4 linked regions of the Drosophila melanogaster genome follow. The protein of the gene in region 4 purifies or fractionates together with the protein of the main gene of each other region. This does not show direct contact. Each region holds a gene or a part of one and is shown on either strand. Other genes may lie near its edges. The genes, in order: Cdc45, Sld5, Psf1 and Mcm5.

Region 1 (4,639 bases), on a different chromosome or scaffold from region 4:
TCCATCAATGGACTGTGGGCCAGCGGTGCCGTCTGAGCTCATTCCTTCAGCCCTATTTTGTGGCCAGGAAAGAGGCCGCAAGCAATACCATCTATGTGGCATCTGGCCACAACCATCCCGCCCTTCTCAGCACCCACATAGCCGTCGATCCGCCCAACTGGCTGTGTTCCAAGTCCCAACAGATTCTTTCGGACACTGGCAGCTTGAGGTGTCGCTTTCGATTCCAGCACACCAAACCATTGGTGGACTGTCAGCTGAGCATCTCTCCCAGTAACACTTTTCTTGTCGAGTTGGACGCTCCTTTAAGAGCTATTACACCAGGACAATATGCCGTATTCTATGACGACACAGCTTGTTTGGGTTCGGCCCGCATCCTCAGCGCTAATCCCCTAAAGAAAAAAAACGCACAGACGCAGCAAGCTCAAGCCGCAAATCTGGTTAGCTAATGATGTTTCCTCTGAGCCAGAAAATAAACCAAATGTAAGAAGGCAGTCCAACTGCCAACACGGCATGTATAGATAGCATGGTAAATACGTTTTCATAAATTTAAGCGCCGAGTAAATTTTAGACGTGAATCGACACTTTTAATTCCATGGTAAACACTTTAATTTAAATTTATTATTCTAGGTCAAATTTACAATTAGTTTTTGAAAAAGGACATTTTGCATTTTGTGGTCCTGGGAGCAATGATAAAGTTATTAACACACAATCGTACATAAATAGGGTTTGGTAAAATCTTAAACTAAGTGTACACGTGAGGTCTCGCGATATAAAACTAGCTTAGCACATAATATGATTGAGCAGGGATGTGTCGGTAGCAGGTAGAATAGAAAGCGGCGTGGATTAGGCTAACAGCACCGTGAGGGAGTCCAGAAAGCGTGTGAGGTCGCTCTGCCGCAGCTGCACCACCGCTGGCTCGAAAAAGTCCTGCAATAGAGCGACTCCACTCTTTTGCGCCGCCTGCTCGAAGGCCTTGCCAAAGAAGTTTCGCGGAGAGTCTTCCCTTACCGGGACAATGCCTACCAGCAAGCACATGCCCTCCGAAGCGTTCAGGGGACAACTTGCGATCAACGGCAAGTCCGAAGCCTGCCTGGCTCTACTCGTGGCCACATGTCCGCGCAAAAGAAAGCGAGCCAACAGTCCAAGGGCATAGGGGTATGAGAAGAACGCGTGTTCCTCCTGCAGAACGTAGTAGAAAAAGGAGCCCGCTGAATGAACTTGGCGTGCCTCCAAGCTGCTCTGCACCTGCCGAAAGACAGCAGCATGCAAAAGCTTCGCCTGGTCGATGCCTGCAGACAGCAGCTGCTTGTGCTGACGACTCAAAGCATCCGAGGCCTCCAGAAAGCAATCCTCCGGAGTCTTGTGCTTCTTCACGGACTCCATGATGGCGAGCAGGGCATAAACGTAGTCCGCCGCAGCATATCTGCTGCGGTAGCCGTAGCTCAGCGTAAAGGTGCCGTAAACTATGTCCGCTATGTCGTACTTCTCCGCCAGGCGCTCCACCATCGAGAAGAACTCCTTGCGCAACACCAAATCCATGGCTCCGTACGTTTGGCGGGCGTGCACCAAGGGAAGTCCCATCTCGAGCAGCAGCTCGTGTAATCTCTTCTCTCCGCGCAGTGTCCACAGCTTCAGCTGGCATGAGGAGTAGCGGGAATACCTACGATTATACTACATGATTAAATGGCATAGAATACACTGTCAATGCTCACCTCATGGATTCCGTGACGGGCCAGTGGCGGTACAAGACCAGATGCAAATCATTCTCGAAGGTTATCTTGGAGGCACTCATCGTGTTCTGATCATTCGTTTTGTTCGTCAGTCGGGACACATGCGACTGGATTTGCTCCAGCTCCAAAGTATACGCTCCACTCTCGATCTTGCCCAGCAGCAGCTGCTCCGTGATGCCCACAATGGCCCACCAGAGCAGGTCCATGTTGTCTTTTGAGAGCTTCCAGGCCAACTCAAAAACCATCAAAGCGGCGGACCTGCCGTAGTAGCTGAACTGCGTGTACTCGAACATAATCCTGTCGCGCTCAGACTCCCACTGTCGGCGGGCTCGCTGCTTCAGGATGCGTTGCTCGTGCCGCTCCAGGCGACTGAGCTTACGGCTCCTTGGCGCCTGATCCTCCTGGTCCGATTCCCCGGCACCACTGTCGTCGTGCTGCTGTTCCGTGTCAGAGGACTCGTCCTCATCCTCGTCTTCACCTTCAGAGTCATAGAAAATTGTCTCGAACGCTGGAATATTCTCCTCCAAGGAGGCATCCCCCAAGATGCACACCTGCCGATCGCTGTAGATGTTACACACATCCAACGGGCGATGTGAATCGCATATGAAGAAGGTCACGTCGTCCGACGGCTGCAGGAGCTCCACAATATCTACACAGCCGCCGCAGTTCACCAACACCACGTACTTAACGTCGCCCTGGTGCTCTCCATAGGCCCGCTTCAGACCCGTAACGCCCATTATGGGCACCACGGTGTACAGCATGTGATCGTACTTGAACAAGGCCTGCAGGATGCGACTGGCGCAGATGGCATCGATGTCGTAGTTGACCACGATCAAGATGCGCTTGCCAACCAGCTGGCGGTAAAAGTCGTTGCGCAGATCCTGGACAAACATGGTGAACACTTCTGGCGGGAATCCCAATCGTCTGCCTAATCTGTCTACGTCTAGACACAACGGTCTCTTTCCAATCGCTTACGATGCAAAGTAGAATTCTACATGAGTGCAGTGCGTTGCATTTTGAGGGTTTCCCTGCGGCTTGCGCTATTTTCCAGCTTCCCACTGCCGCTCCACTTTTGCTTTTCTGGCAATCGCAATTGGCGAATCAAAAACGCGGGAAACAGCTGGCTTAGCCAGTGTGACCAGTGTGAAATAATGGAATGGCGCGGAAATACAATCGTTGCTGGGAAAAGAATATTCTGCGAATTTCCAGAAATTTTGAGCTGCCAAAAACCGAAATTATAATCACATAATGTTGAATTTTGAGAGCTCTTTGCAGTTGCTGCTATTGCAGTAGGAGCAATATCTTGGCGCTCCAGATACGGTCACACCGCGACGCCCATGTGTTTTGAATTGCCACAAAAACGAAAGTCTACCAGTCGACCAGCTTTGTGCGACAAAAGCCTCAGAATATGAGCAGGGACAACAAGATGAAGCACCTGACCCAGCGGGCCATCTCCTCACGCATGAACTACCTGTTCCAGGCCTCGAATTTAATGGCAGTAGGCAATCAACCAAAATTGGCCGCCTATTATGGCAAACTCTGCCGCAATGTGGGCACCAAGGCTATCATGCACATGTAAGTGGCTTCTCCAGTGGAGTATGGGCAAATAATTCATGGCGTCAACTGGTTTCAAGGGCCCCGGCCGTGAAGCGTTCCCTGTGCAGGCGCTGTTTCCTTCCCCTGATTCCCGGAGTGAATACGGAGCTGCATGTGGAGGAAGGAGCACAGGAGGCCAAGACTGATGCACAAGCTCAATCGAACGGAGCAGTCAAAACGAAGAAAAAGCGCCATCGCAGGCAGCGCAAGAAGCCCAGAAGCCGGAAAACAGGGAACACCAACCAGGAGGAATCCGAGGAGCAAATCCAAGAAAGTACTGAACAGGTCTCTTTTTTCTTAGAGTGCTCACTCTGCTGCGGCCGGCGAAGCTTTGCGGCGAACAGTCAAAGAGACTGCTGGTTGGAGCAGCCGCAATCCATAGTGCAAGTGGTCTCGCTCCCCAAAGAGAAAGACGAGCGATAAGCTGAAGCTTTGCTTATCAGCCAGCCTGCCTGTTGTGCCATCACCTGATTGCTCGGCAGTTGAGCCTGGAATGCTTAGCTGTAGGCAACTTATTTCTCGGCTGAGCCTTCTTCGGCAGGCGAGCACATTTGCTTGTGTGCGACTATGCCCCGACTATGTAGAAGTCCAGGAGGAGCAGGGCAATCTCCTGAAGTACCCCCAAGTTTGGCTTAGGGACAACTGTCAGTGTGCCGAGTGCTTCCACGCCGCCACAAGAGCAAGAAAAAGTCACTGGGATCGTGGCCCGCTGAATATACCAGTGTCCCAAGTGGCCTACAACAAGGAGAGGAAACAGTTGGAGATCATCTGGCAGGACAAGCACAGGAGCACCTTCGATCTAGGCTGGCTGAGGGAAAGGGACTTTGGAGAGACTGGCAGAAAGCATTACTTGGAGGAGGTCTACAAGCCACCCGCTCAACTCTGGGGAAAAACGGAGTTCGAGGATGTGAAAAGAGAATTCCAATACGAGGATGTGCTGGAGCAAGATGCAGCCCTGAGAGTTTGGCTTGAGGCACTGGCAGTCCAAGGATTCGCCATTCTGAAAGGGGCACCCAACGACATAAATGTGGCTAAGAAATTGGCCGAACGAATTGGCTACATAAAACGCACCACCTACGGGTAAATATTAACCAATAGATGACATACTTCATCGTACAGTACCAGGGTCATAAAACTCACATTTGCCGAGAGCTGTATTATCTATCAGTCCACTAAATATTATCACTATCGGTTGATTGTTACAGCCAGAATCAGGCAAATATTTTCAACCAGGTGTCCATTTGTACTCATGATAAAGATTTGATTACCACTTACTCACGCTAGATACTACTACAGAATATGCTAGCCACATT
Region 2 (3,409 bases), about 15 Mb from region 4:
TTACCGAATTCGGAGCCCTCCCGCGACCGCTCCTCGCGCAGGAGATCGCCGGCCGAGAGATGGGTGAATTGGAAGCGATCCACGATCCTGGAGCATTGGGTGCCCTTGCCGGCCCCGGGACCGCCCAAAACAAAGACAATCTTTGGCTTCTCTACGCTCATGATTCCGATATTGTGTGGTGGGGCTGTGGAGGTGGTGGTGATGAACCTATTGCTGGCCTTGGAATGTCGCAATTGGTGCTGCGTCAGCGCTGATGGTGCGAGACCGACTCCTGGTGAACCGCAATCGTTGGCTACTGCTCTCAACGTCGTTCGTGCCAAAGCCCGCCACATTGACGACTGAACCAAACTGAAGGCAAATTGAATGCGTGGTTTATGTGTATGCCGCCTGCAGTACACCTCACCACTGTTTTCCACTGGAAACGTAACACCCTGTGACGTCACGCACAAGCGCAGCTGTTCGCGGGCGTCCGTTCGGCAACACTGGCGCCGGCTTTAGCGGGAAGCGAACCAATTTGAATGGCATTTTATGCAGTTTACTTCCGGTTCGATATTAAATAAATTAAATTTAATTTAAATATTCTTCTACAACATTTTTAAATGTACCCTTAAACATGCAGCTTTGCAGAGTTTGATTTTTAATTTTTTTTATTATCATGTATATTACCTGCTAAATAAGTCTTTTAAATTAGCTGCGCTTGGTTGTTTTGTATCAAGTCGGCCACTAGTTGGTAGGGAATAATATGCTGGGAGCCGGCCGCCATGTCCACCTCCTCATCATCGACGCCCACGATCACAGCGGGCACTGGAAAGCAAAACAAGAGTTAAGCGGTTATCTTAATTAGATGACAAAAGGTTATTACCTGCCACATTTGCCTTAAGAAAGACATGGCTCATCAGATTGGGCGTCACAATCCTCTGCTCCGCCTCTCCTCTCTGCTGGTTGGGCATGTACTGGGTGGCTACTTTGTGGAAGTACTCATCCACATTACTGGCAAACTCCTGGGCGAACTTAGTCTCCTCGGGAGACAGACGTTTGTCATCCGGCTCACGGCTCTCCTCCTGGTTGAGGATGTGCTGCGTGAAGGTTTCGATCTTCTGCAGGCGGCAACGCAGATAACTGGCCATTATGTAGCGCACCCTCTCCAGTTCCATGGAGTGCACCACCGCTCGGAAATCGTTCTTGTCCAGATCGCGCATCTGCTCCTCCATGTGGGCCACCTGGGAGACCATCAGCTCCAGCATGTCCGTCTGGCTGGGCAGGATCTCCGGCGCACACATTTCATTTATCCACGCGGTTTCTATGATTTCCAGAACCTAGGGATATCAGAATGTGATTACTTGCGTATTAAAAAGCTGTGTTACGATTTACCTTACCTTCTGAGCTGTAATCTGTTCCATATCGTCATCATCCTCATCCTCCAGTCCGGCGCCATCGCTGACATCGATTTCTAACTGGGTTTCGGGCACGTCTTCTACATCCGACATGGTTTTATTTATTTGTTTATTATTTTGCAGATTTTGGCGCAAATTTTGGGAATCGTTGGGAATGTCACTCCAGTAATACAGTTGACGTTTTTCATCACTGTTTCATTTGTTTTTACTCCGTGTGAATGGCACGTCTAACCGTTATCGATATCACAAAAGCATGCGATGGCAGCCGCACAACAAACTGAATTCCAAAAGAATTTTAGAGTGATTGTAGAGAAGATCTTCAATCACTGGCAGGATCTCCGGCTGGCGGTGGAGCATGGCATGGGCGGACGCAATGGCCAACAGGTTGTTGCTCGTATACCCTGAAACCGTCTTCTTTTCTAACCTAATCGGAGTGTCCGTTTTGTAGGTGGCCATAGAAATCATGGACTACACCTACCAGTACTGCGTGTCCAACGAAAATATCACGCAAGGCGAACTGGTGGAGGTCCTGGAGGAGCTGATGGACCAGGAGTTTAACACCCTCTGCGACGACGACTCCATTCCGGAGATCTGCCGGAATCTGCTGCGCTACAAATTGATGGCCCAGCAGAACCAGTTTCCGCAAATAGAGGCTGAATTGAGTAAACTTCCTGCTGGCAAGGAGTGGCTGCGTCCGGATGTTAAGATCACCTACACACCCATCGATGGGGACTCCTCATCCGATGAGGACATGGACGACAGCGACGAGGAGGACGATAATGAAATGGGCCAGGGCGACGAGGAAACTCCCAGCGGCAGTGGTCGGATGACGCGATCGCAGGCACGAAAGCAGCAGGCTGAGGAGTTTGTGGAACCGGAAGACGGCTGGACCACCGTGCGAAGAAAATGAATTTCGTCGGGATGATTAAAAAGAAACCTGCTAGTTTTTTAGTTATAATACGCTGTATTTACTTCCTGGAGGTCCAGAAAACGCAGTGGTGGAATAGGTGCACGTGTCACAGGTTGGTGGAAAGTCCTGCACAGGTTGCAGTTCACTGGAGAGGCCTTCTTTGATGCGGAATCCTGGCTGACCTTGCCTTTTTGCAACTGCGACCAGGAGGTGAACTCTGTCCCCTTGGGCAGTGCCAGCTTTGGATCCACCACCGAGGCAATGGAATCAACATCCACTGTCATCGATAGATTTATGGCAGGATAGATGAGGAAGGCAAAGAACCAGGCGAAGACCAGCACCAGAAAAGGCACAAATACGGCAAAATACTTGTCCGGCAGATACGAGTGCAGACCAAACTCCACTGGCAGCAGCGCCCAAGTCACGTATACGAGGAAGAGGACCGTGAACAGCATATAGAAGGCGAAACCATAGACCGCCCTATGGGGAGTCGGAGCTGGAGTGTGTTCCGGCATTGTCGTTGCTCTCGGGGATTAGTTTCTCTTTCTTGGAGTCTCCGAACTGGTTGATGGTGTCCTGGCACAGGAGCAGGCACTCAAAGAAGGAGGTGATGGCAGTGCGCAGGCTCTTCACTTGATCCGACTGAAAGTGCACAACCAGAACATCGTTCTCCAGGCTCAAAGTTTTTTTCACGAAATTCCGGCGCGGCTCCTGGTCGACACCGAGGACTTTGTAGGCGATCTCGGCCAATCGTGGCGTCTCAAACGGCACTCTTATTATGCTAATGAGGCGAATATTTATTACTAAATTTATGTTTATTTCTTTGTTAAATGGTTAAACTTACGATTCATTTGGTTTATTTGCAATTTGTGGCATCATAAAAGTTTTAACCAATCTGAAATGCTCACATGTCAACGGAGAAAGTTAATGACAATTTATGAAGAAGAAGCATTCACCGGCTGTTTATCTCGTGAACAGCTGATTGAAGAATTCAAATGTTTAAAAATGAGCATTCTTCATAATCACATTTATGTTTTAAATTAAGCGCTTGTTAAGTTTTTGAAGTTAATAACAATGGGAAATAAGCTGTCAATTAAAACGTTAA
Region 3 (3,174 bases), on a different chromosome or scaffold from region 4:
GTGGCGGGTGACCACTTCCCGTGGTCCGACCACATCCACGACTTCGGCCGAGCGGATGCAACGTTCCCGAGAATTAAGGGGTCTACAAAAGATATAGAAGATATATGTAGATCTTTTTAAGGGGTTTTGGTTACATATACAAACTCACCTGACGCGCACATACACCTGGATGTTTTGGTTGGACTTCTTTTGGGGCTGGCGCGACGTATTCCCACCAGATATGTCCATATTGATCAATTGAAACAATTAATTGTGGTTTTAGCGCGTACAGTCCAAAAAATGACGCCTGTCGCGTGTATCGGTATGCGTGTGTGTGTGTGTTTGATTCCTGGAAATCCTTGTGCTTCACCTTCCACCGAGCCGAATGCTGATAACTGTAACTACTATTTACAGAAGGCTGGCGTGGAAAACCAATTTTCGCACTATTTCCAATGAGAACAGAGAGAAGCAGCGTCTTCAGTTGTCCGTTCAATTTTAAAATAATGCGCAAATAGTGTGACCGCAACACGGCACCCTGAAAATACCAACATCGAAAAATACAAGTATTGGAAAACTACAGAATGTTCAAATTATTTGAATTAAATAATTTTTTATCTTTTATTTGTTCTACATTAAACCATTAAATATGTATAGTAAACTCTTATTATCAAATAATCCCGACTAGGCTATGTGGTGAAGAATGCCCTGCCTCACGAGAGACTCCACCTGAGCTCGGGGCAGATAGTGCTGGCTGTTCTTCTTCAGGTGGATCACCTCGCCGTCGTCCAGCTCGAACTTCCCATAGTCCTCCATGCAGCGCACCTCGATGTAAAGTGACTTGGGCGGACGCAGATTGTTGGTTAGATCAATGGGCAAGCCCTGGTTGTAGCCCGCACTGCACATGTAGGCAGCCAGGGACTTGGAGTAGTTGTTGAAGAAGGTGACCTCCGGTTCGCAGAGTGCCTGCTTGATGTCCCCGGGGATAATGGGTCCAAACTCCCACCTGAGGGCCTTGATCCTCCTGCACCGCTCGTATAGGTAGGCCAGCAGGCACCTCTTGTTCCTCTGGAGAGCTGCGTGCCTGAAGTTGAGCAGGGGCCACAGACTGCGATCCCCGGAAGCATTGTAGCTGGAGGCCTGGGCCACGTTCTCCTCGAATATCGCCTTGATCTCCTCCAGCACCTGGCGCACCCCATCGTCGTCGAAGGCGGGAATTGTCTGCGACGATCTCTCCAGTTCTTTTAGCAGGTCGAAGGCTTTCTCGCCGAACATTTTTGTTTGTCGGCTCATTGTTGATCCTCTCTGTTTTTCTTTGGTTTGGGGATCTAGTGATGGATTCGCGCCAAAATGTTCGTCGACTTGTGGTATCGATACTTGGTATTTCTTTTGGTATATTTCAAAAAATAACAAAAATTTCATCCTCAGTAGCCATGTTCCTTTAAAATAGATTTGAAACGGTGATTTATCAAAATTTAGCTTACGAGGCCCAAATTATGCCGTCCTAAGAGGAAATGCCATCCTGGTTAGATTGGTGCAACTGCGGGAGTGGAGTACCACATGCAAGTAAGTGGGTGTGAACATCTTAAAGTATCGAATATATTAGCTATTCGCTATTCGGCTATTTAGCCAACTGGTCCATCCCTATCACACACGTAGTGGCAAAGAGTTGGCCCAAAAATCAGATGAACTGCAATTTGTGTGTTAAATCAATAAAGAACGAGTAACCTCCTGATTGTGTGGCTGATTTTGGTGCTGTGCGTGTGTGACAGCGGTGATAGCGACAGTGAATCCCCGATTACAGGAAGTGAGCAGAGAAAGAGGAAGCAGCACTGGCTATAGCTATTAACCCTTATCCCATTTTTAACCCTTAGTCTTCGAAGTGGGCCAGCCACCGCCCCCGGAAATCATGGACAGCAGGGAGGAGAACGCCGTGTACGATGACATGAACCTGTACATCGCACCGCAGAGCTTCATCATCGAGCCGAATGGAGGAGATGAGTTGCTGGTCATCGGGCGCCACGACAAAGTCACCAGGGTTCAGCCAGCGAGCGGAGGTCTTGTGGCCAACCTTCGCCCCACCAGGAGGATTTGTGGTGTGCTGGGAACCATTCACCTACTGAGCTGCGACTACCTTCTGGTGGCGACCCACCGCCTCTTCGTGGGCGTGCTCAATGGCGCAGTTGTGTGGAGATTAGCGGGCTATGACATCATACCTTACATTCCGAATTCCTTCCAGCGCAAGGAGAACGAAAACTACTTGCGACTGCTACGCCAGACACTTGACACCAAGTTCTTTTACTTCTCCTACCGCTACGACCTTACCAATTCGCTGCAGCGACAGCGGGAGGTGGCACAATCGCGGCCTGAAGTATCCGGGTTGCTCCAGCGCGCTGAGCAGCGATTCGTTTGGAATGGCTATGTGCTGCGGCAGTTCAACTGCGATAAGATGGAGAAGTTCCAGCTGCCACTCGTCCTGGGCTTCGTGTCTATCAACCAGGTGCAGATCAACGGGCAGACATTCTTCTGGAGCATCATCACCAGGCGTTCCGTGCAGCGGGCGGGCACACGGCTCTTCTGCCGAGGCAGCGACGAGCAGGGCCATGTTGCGAACTTCGTAGAGACCGAGCAAATAGTGGAGTTCAACGGGCAGCTGACTGGATTCGTGCAGACACGAGGCAGCATGCCCTTCCACTGGCACCAGCTGCCCAATTTGCGCTATAAGCCACGACCCGTTCTGGTGCCGGGCAAGGATCATTTGGCCGCCTGCGGGCTCCACTTTAAGGAACAGATCCGGCTGTATGGCAACAATGTGGCTGTGAATCTAGTGGATCACAAAGGTGCCGAAGGCGAGCTCGAGGCGACCTATGCCCGCCTGGTTCGAGAAATGGGAAATCCACAAGTGCGATACGAGTCTTTCGACTTCCACAGCGAGTGCCGTAAGATGCGCTGGGACCGGCTGAACATACTCATCGATCGCCTCGCCCATGAGCAGGATCAGTTCGGTGTCTATCATGTCTTCGACGACGGCAAATTGGTGTCCACGCAGACTGGTGTCTTCCGAACGAATTGTATCGACTGTCTCGATAGGACGAACGTCGTGCAGAGCATGCTGGCCCGCAGGTCCCTCACTGCGGTGCTCCAGAAGCTGGGAGTGCTTCATGTGGGCCAGAAAGTGGAACATGCCTCCGACATTTT
Region 4 (5,233 bases):
CCATTGTTTTTAAATGGCCAAAAGCGAGCATACGTAACACGCTTACGTATTTTTGAAAATTCGTGCACATTTTGAGTACATTTCAGTTTTCAAATGTATGTAAGTACATAGATGTGCATGCGCAAATATACTAATTGAGTTTTGTATAAAAGGAAGTAATAAACGTTCTCAAACAGAGGAAAAAATATTTTTAAGAAATTGGCAAGTGGCCAAGGCAATATGATTGGTTTTTGTGATTTGTCCGAATGACGTAGGCAAACACAGTCGAATGTAGAGCGAAATTGTCGGTTTGCGCGAAAATTTGGAGGCCGACCAAAGGGTCTATGTGTTTCGACCAAGCATTATCAACAAACAGAATTTAGACATTGCTTATAATCTCATTTTTTAAATGTAAACAATCATAAATATTTACCAAACATATAGTCTGCCGGCTCGACTGACTTATGCACTTGAAATACCTAGGATTTCCCACTACAAGTATCAGAGTATCTATTCTGTAAACTTCTAGCTATTAAATACATCACTGAATTATTGTTCAAATATTTAACAGAATTTGAATAAATAAAATAATGATTCAATTTGGTTTATTGGGAAAGAATGTAGTTTATCTTAATACTATAAATGGAAATACAAATAATGTGACGAAATGATTGAAGACATATTCAACGATGGACAAGAAATGAAGTGATTAACAGTGTTTAGCAAATTCGATAGAGCATCTTCCGTTGCATCCGGTGCTGCAGCTCTCCACGTCGGATCATGGTATGAATTACCTTCATTACCGTGCGTTCTTCGTATTTCTGACGCAAAAAGTCCTATGAAAAGCAAGCATTATAAATAAAAATTGTTCATTCGATTCATAAGACTTCTGTGCTTACCTGTAAGATATTCTGCTCCGATACTTGAGATCCAATTGCAAAGCGACGTTTCAATTGCTTTTCGATGCGGTTGAGTGTTTCCTGGTCCTCCTCGGTCGTGAATCCTTCGGCTCCAGCCAAGCTGCCAGTCATCGCAGCATCAAGGGTAGACACTTGGAAAAGTCGAAGTGCTTCGTTCACGTGCTCATCTGTGGCGAACGGTTGCAAACGAATCTTTGCCAGCGACTCCGAAATGCGGATGACAGCCTCCAACTGACGCACAGTGATGGGAATGCTTAGCCGCTTGTCAGATGCCTTCTCCTGCTGGCCGGCTCCACTGCGCATAAGCACGTAGCGGCTCTTTAGCTTCTCGCCGGCAGCTTCGCTCAGGCGCGGACCGCAATGAGTTCGGCAGTAGTGAATATACTTCTTGAACGTCGACAGCGATATCTCACCCTCAGCCGGCTCTGAAGGCGCTGACTTGTTAGAGCTCAGATGCACGTTGATGATGTGCTTGGCCAGCGTAATGTCCCGCGACTCATCGTGAATATCCTTTACAATGAAAATCATGTCGAAACGGGAGAGAATTGTGGGCATAAAGTCAATGTTCTCCTCGCCCTTGGTGTCGTCCCATCGACCGAAAATGGAGTTGGCAGCTGCCAAGACCGAACAGCGTGAGTTCAAGGTGGTCGTGATGCCGGCTTTGGCAATGGATATTGTCTGCTGTTCCATGGCCTCGTGAATGGCCACACGATCATCCTCTCGCATTTTGTCGAACTCATCAATACAAACCACGCCTCCATCGGCCAGCACCATGGCTCCACCCTCCATGACAAAGTTACGCTAAAGATTAATGTATCATTTAATTTGTAAGGATTAGGTGTGCAATGTTTTTTCTCACCGTTTGAGGATCCTTCATAACCGAAGCCGTGAGACCAGCCGCACTGGAGCCTTTGCCCGAAGTGTAGACTGCTATGGGTGCCACCTTCTCCACAAACTTTAACAACTGTGACTTGGCAGTACCAGGATCTCCCAGCAGTAAGACGTTAATGTCGCCTCGACGGCACAGACCATCCGGTAAACGCTTACGAGACCCGCCAAAAAGCATACAAGTTATAGCTTTCTTGATATCCCGAGAGCCGAAGATGCTGGGCGCCAGTGACTGTGAGAGACGTTCGTAGATGTCCCCAGAGGCGGCCATTCGCCGGAAGTGCTCCTCCTCATCGGATGTGATGTTGCTGTATCGGGAGATGGCACCCGCACCCTCTGAGTCGACGGTGATGCCCACCACCCTCATGTAAGGAGCACGGACTCCAACGACGGCTTTCTCGCGACCATCCCGACGCGAGGGTTTGCCCACCTTGCGAATGGAGTATATGCCCTGGATAAGCACGCGATTGCCGGGCACCACGCGTTCACAGAGCGAGCGATCGCAGAAGAGCTGCAAGTGGCGGGGAATCTCACCCTGTGGCACAAAGTCGGGGAGCTCTTGCAACTTAAGGGTCTGGAAATCGACGCACTTGCACTTGTCCGGCATGATGAAGAAGGGGTCCAGCGGGCACTTGGGTCTGCCCGCCTGCTCCGTGTTGCACTTCCTGGGTAGGGCGTAGCCCTCCAAACCTGGATTCACTTTGAGATTCGGTATGACCGTGCTGCAGGACAGGCATTGGATAGACATCCGCGTAGCCTTGGCACTTATTCCTGAGGCTGCGACAATGATTCCGGCGATCTTAACCAGCTTGGATACGCAGTCCGACTTCAACTGTCGTATGTTGGTGGGATTCGCATTGGAGCTCAGAAGAATCTGGATGTCGTGCATATGTTCCTCGTGCTCCGGCCGGGGAGCTGTGATCTCGTCGGCTACCTCCCGGGCAGCCTCCTCGAAGATTTCCAAATGCTCCGTCGGCTGCTTGTTCAGCTTGTCAGCCAAGGTCTCATCGAAGCCCACCAAATCCTCCATCTCAATCTCCAAGAAGTAGCGACCATTAAGATAGTTCCTCTTCAGGGTGTCACTGCAGGGGGATTACCTTAAATGGGGTTCAGATGAGGAGATGCAGTTCACTTACCGGTATTTGTAGAAAAAGTTCTCCTCGTTAAATGTCCGGATGAACTCCTTGTACTTCTTCTTTACCGCCTGCAAGTTGATTTGCGCATCCTGCTGGTTATCTCCGCCGAAATTGTCCGAAAAGAACACACCCGCATCGTCGAAGCCTTCCATTTTGATAGGGTAAACAAAGTTAAAAAGAAGAACTGAGGTAATAGACGCTACTTCTGCTTCGCTTTATATTTCGTTTTTTAGTAAATGCGATGTGCGAATATTTTGCCGCCAAAATTACCGGGCAAGCGGTAGCTAGAGATGAGCACTTACCAGTAAAACTATCGGATCTTATTTACAACTATCGATGAAACGTGTTTCCCAGTTTATGTATTTTTGTTAGCAGTGAAATAGGACCAATACAACAAGCATTGCAGCAGTTAATAAACCATGAACGTATTTATTATATCTTATTGATGTTATGACAAAGATTATTTTACTCGATTATATGGAACATGCCTTAGACAACTGACTCCAATTCTTCCCAGCTCAAAAATACTAAAATTTCAGAAAAATCCAATAATATCGAGCTGGCGATATTTGTTTCCAGCTTTTGTGCGGGGGCAGTGTTGATAAGCGACCTTTTAAACTAGCGTGCTGTAGAAACAGTCCCATCATTTAGTCGCCAATTTTTCGACGTGAAAAACCAAAGAGACGCCGAAGAAATTAGAAAATGGTAAGTTTTGGTCAAAATGTGACGGCAATCGACAGGCCAGTAGCTGACGAACCCGATTCGCAGGCCAGCACAGACATTCCCATGGAGGCAGCTGTGGAATCGGCGACCGGCATCACGCCCAATTCAAATGCGAACTCAAACAATGTGGCGAAGAAGCTGCCCGCGGAGGGCTCCACCGGTGATAATCCCAATGCCAACGCCGACGAGATGACGTCCCGCGACTATTACTTTGACTCCTATGCCCATTTCGGGATCCACGAGGAGATGCTCAAGGACGAAGTGCGCACCGTCACATACCGCAACGCCATGTACCACAACAAGCATCTGTTTCAGGGCAAGGTAGGGTTAACTTCCGGGGTTTCCCCATTTTTCGTAGCCCTTCTCACCGGGGTATCTCCTCTTTGCAGACCGTACTGGACGTGGGTTGCGGTACCGGCATTCTCTCCATGTTCGCTGCCAAAGCCGGTGCTGCTCAGGTGATTGCCGTCGACTGCTCCAACATCATTGAGTTTGCCCGCCAAGTGGTCATTGACAACAATCTGCAGGATGTAATCACGGTTGTCAAGGGCAAGATTGAGGAGATTGAGCTTCCAAATGGTATTGAGGGAGTGGACATTATTATTTCCGAGTGGATGGGGTAGGTTTTCATTTGTAGTTAAGCTTTTAAAAAGTGGTCATATTTGATTTAGCATATTAACCATTTTAATTTCTTTCCTTAATTTAGTTACTGCCTGTTCTACGAATCCATGCTGGATACAGTGTTGTACGCTCGGGACAAGTGGCTGAAGAAGGACGGCATGATGTTCCCAGATAGGGGCACGCTGTATATCACGGCCATCGAGGACAGACAGTACAAGGACGAGAAGATCAACTGGTGGGACGATGTCTACGGCTTCGACATGAGCTGCATTCGTAAGGTGGCCGTGACCGAGCCACTGGTCGACGTGGTCGATCCCAAGCAAGTGGTATCCACATCTTGCATGGTCAAGGAGGTGGATCTGTATACCGTGCAAAAGGCCGATCTTAACTTCTCGTCCAAGTTCAGCCTATGCATCAAGCGCAACGACTTCGTGCAGGCATTAGTCACCTACTTTAATATAGAGTTCACCAAGTGCCACAAGCGTCTTGGGTTCAGTACGTCACCAGACTCCACATACACGCATTGGAAGCAAACCGTGTTCTACCTCGATGACCACATGACGGCAAAGAAGAACGAGGAGATCACTGGCACGTTCCAGATGAAGCCCAACGAGCGGAACAACCGTGACCTGGACTTCGTCATCGACATTAATTTCAAGGGCGAATTGTCTCAAATTCAGGAGTCGAACACATACCGCATGCGCTAGGGGCAGCCATAACCAATCCGATCTGCCATTTGGGATGGGGCTCAGAGCCCTGCAGCGAGGATACATACAATGACTAGACGTAAGGTTTATTCCAGTGCGAAATGTGCAACGAATTCGTGTTGCGTCTTCTCCTAAGTTTAAAGTGTACCTTTGTTAGTATACATAATATTTTACACTCGTGCGCCTGTTTAAATTATTATTCGAACATACTTCTAAGCAAGTTGTACAGCAGCACGTCAATTCTCACATAATAAACAGT

The links.
Region 1: the proteins of Mcm5 (region 4) and Cdc45 purify together in Drosophila melanogaster (affinity purification with western blotting; 4 studies listed by BioGRID, with this or other methods). This does not show direct contact.
Region 2: the proteins of Mcm5 (region 4) and Sld5 purify together in Drosophila melanogaster (affinity purification with western blotting; 2 studies listed by BioGRID, with this or other methods). This does not show direct contact.
Region 3: the proteins of Mcm5 (region 4) and Psf1 purify together in Drosophila melanogaster (affinity purification with western blotting; 2 studies listed by BioGRID, with this or other methods). This does not show direct contact.

What each region holds. Positions count from the first base shown.
Region 1 is NC_004354.4:1,027,705-1,032,343, forward strand, and holds Cdc45 (cell division cycle 45), read right to left. Parts: upstream 2,853-4,639; 5' UTR 2,624-2,852; coding exon 1,713-2,623; intron 1,661-1,712; coding exon 844-1,660; 3' UTR 587-843; downstream 1-586. Other genes in the region: CG3021 (uncharacterized protein), read left to right, coding at 1-446; Rpp21 (ribonuclease P/MRP subunit p21), read left to right, coding at 3,139-3,305, 3,365-3,749; CG14630 (uncharacterized protein), read left to right, coding at 3,820-4,406.
Region 2 is NT_033777.3:26,055,005-26,058,413, forward strand, and holds Sld5 (Sld5), read right to left. Parts: upstream 1,544-3,409; 5' UTR 1,488-1,543; coding exon 1,377-1,487; intron 1,317-1,376; coding exon 863-1,316; intron 805-862; coding exon 683-804; 3' UTR 653-682; downstream 1-652. Other genes in the region: Cmpk (Cytidine/uridine monophosphate kinase 1), read right to left, coding at 1-332; CG14543 (uncharacterized protein), read left to right, coding at 1,653-1,778, 1,843-2,304; PIG-P (phosphatidylinositol glycan anchor biosynthesis class P), read right to left, coding at 2,343-2,819; Tcs6 (Threonyl-carbamoyl synthesis 6), read right to left, coding at 2,785-3,085, 3,149-3,183.
Region 3 is NT_037436.4:1,246,406-1,249,579, forward strand, and holds Psf1 (partner of Sld five 1), read right to left. Parts: upstream 1,273-3,174; 5' UTR 1,270-1,272; coding exon 661-1,269; 3' UTR 581-660; downstream 1-580. Other genes in the region: CG32318 (uncharacterized protein), read right to left, coding at 1-82, 149-228; Sac1 phosphatase, read left to right, coding at 1,886-3,174.
Region 4 is NT_033777.3:10,786,507-10,791,739, reverse strand, and holds Mcm5 (minichromosome maintenance 5), read right to left. Parts: upstream 3,217-5,233; 5' UTR 3,076-3,216; coding exon 2,924-3,075; intron 2,870-2,923; coding exon 1,759-2,869; intron 1,701-1,758; coding exon 879-1,700; intron 816-878; coding exon 699-815; 3' UTR 590-698; downstream 1-589. Other genes in the region: Art1 (arginine methyltransferase 1), read left to right, coding at 3,626-3,628, 3,692-3,967, 4,036-4,265, 4,353-4,974. UniProt on the Drosophila melanogaster protein: Acts as a component of the Mcm2-7 complex (Mcm complex) which is the putative replicative helicase essential for 'once per cell cycle' DNA replication initiation and elongation in eukaryotic cells.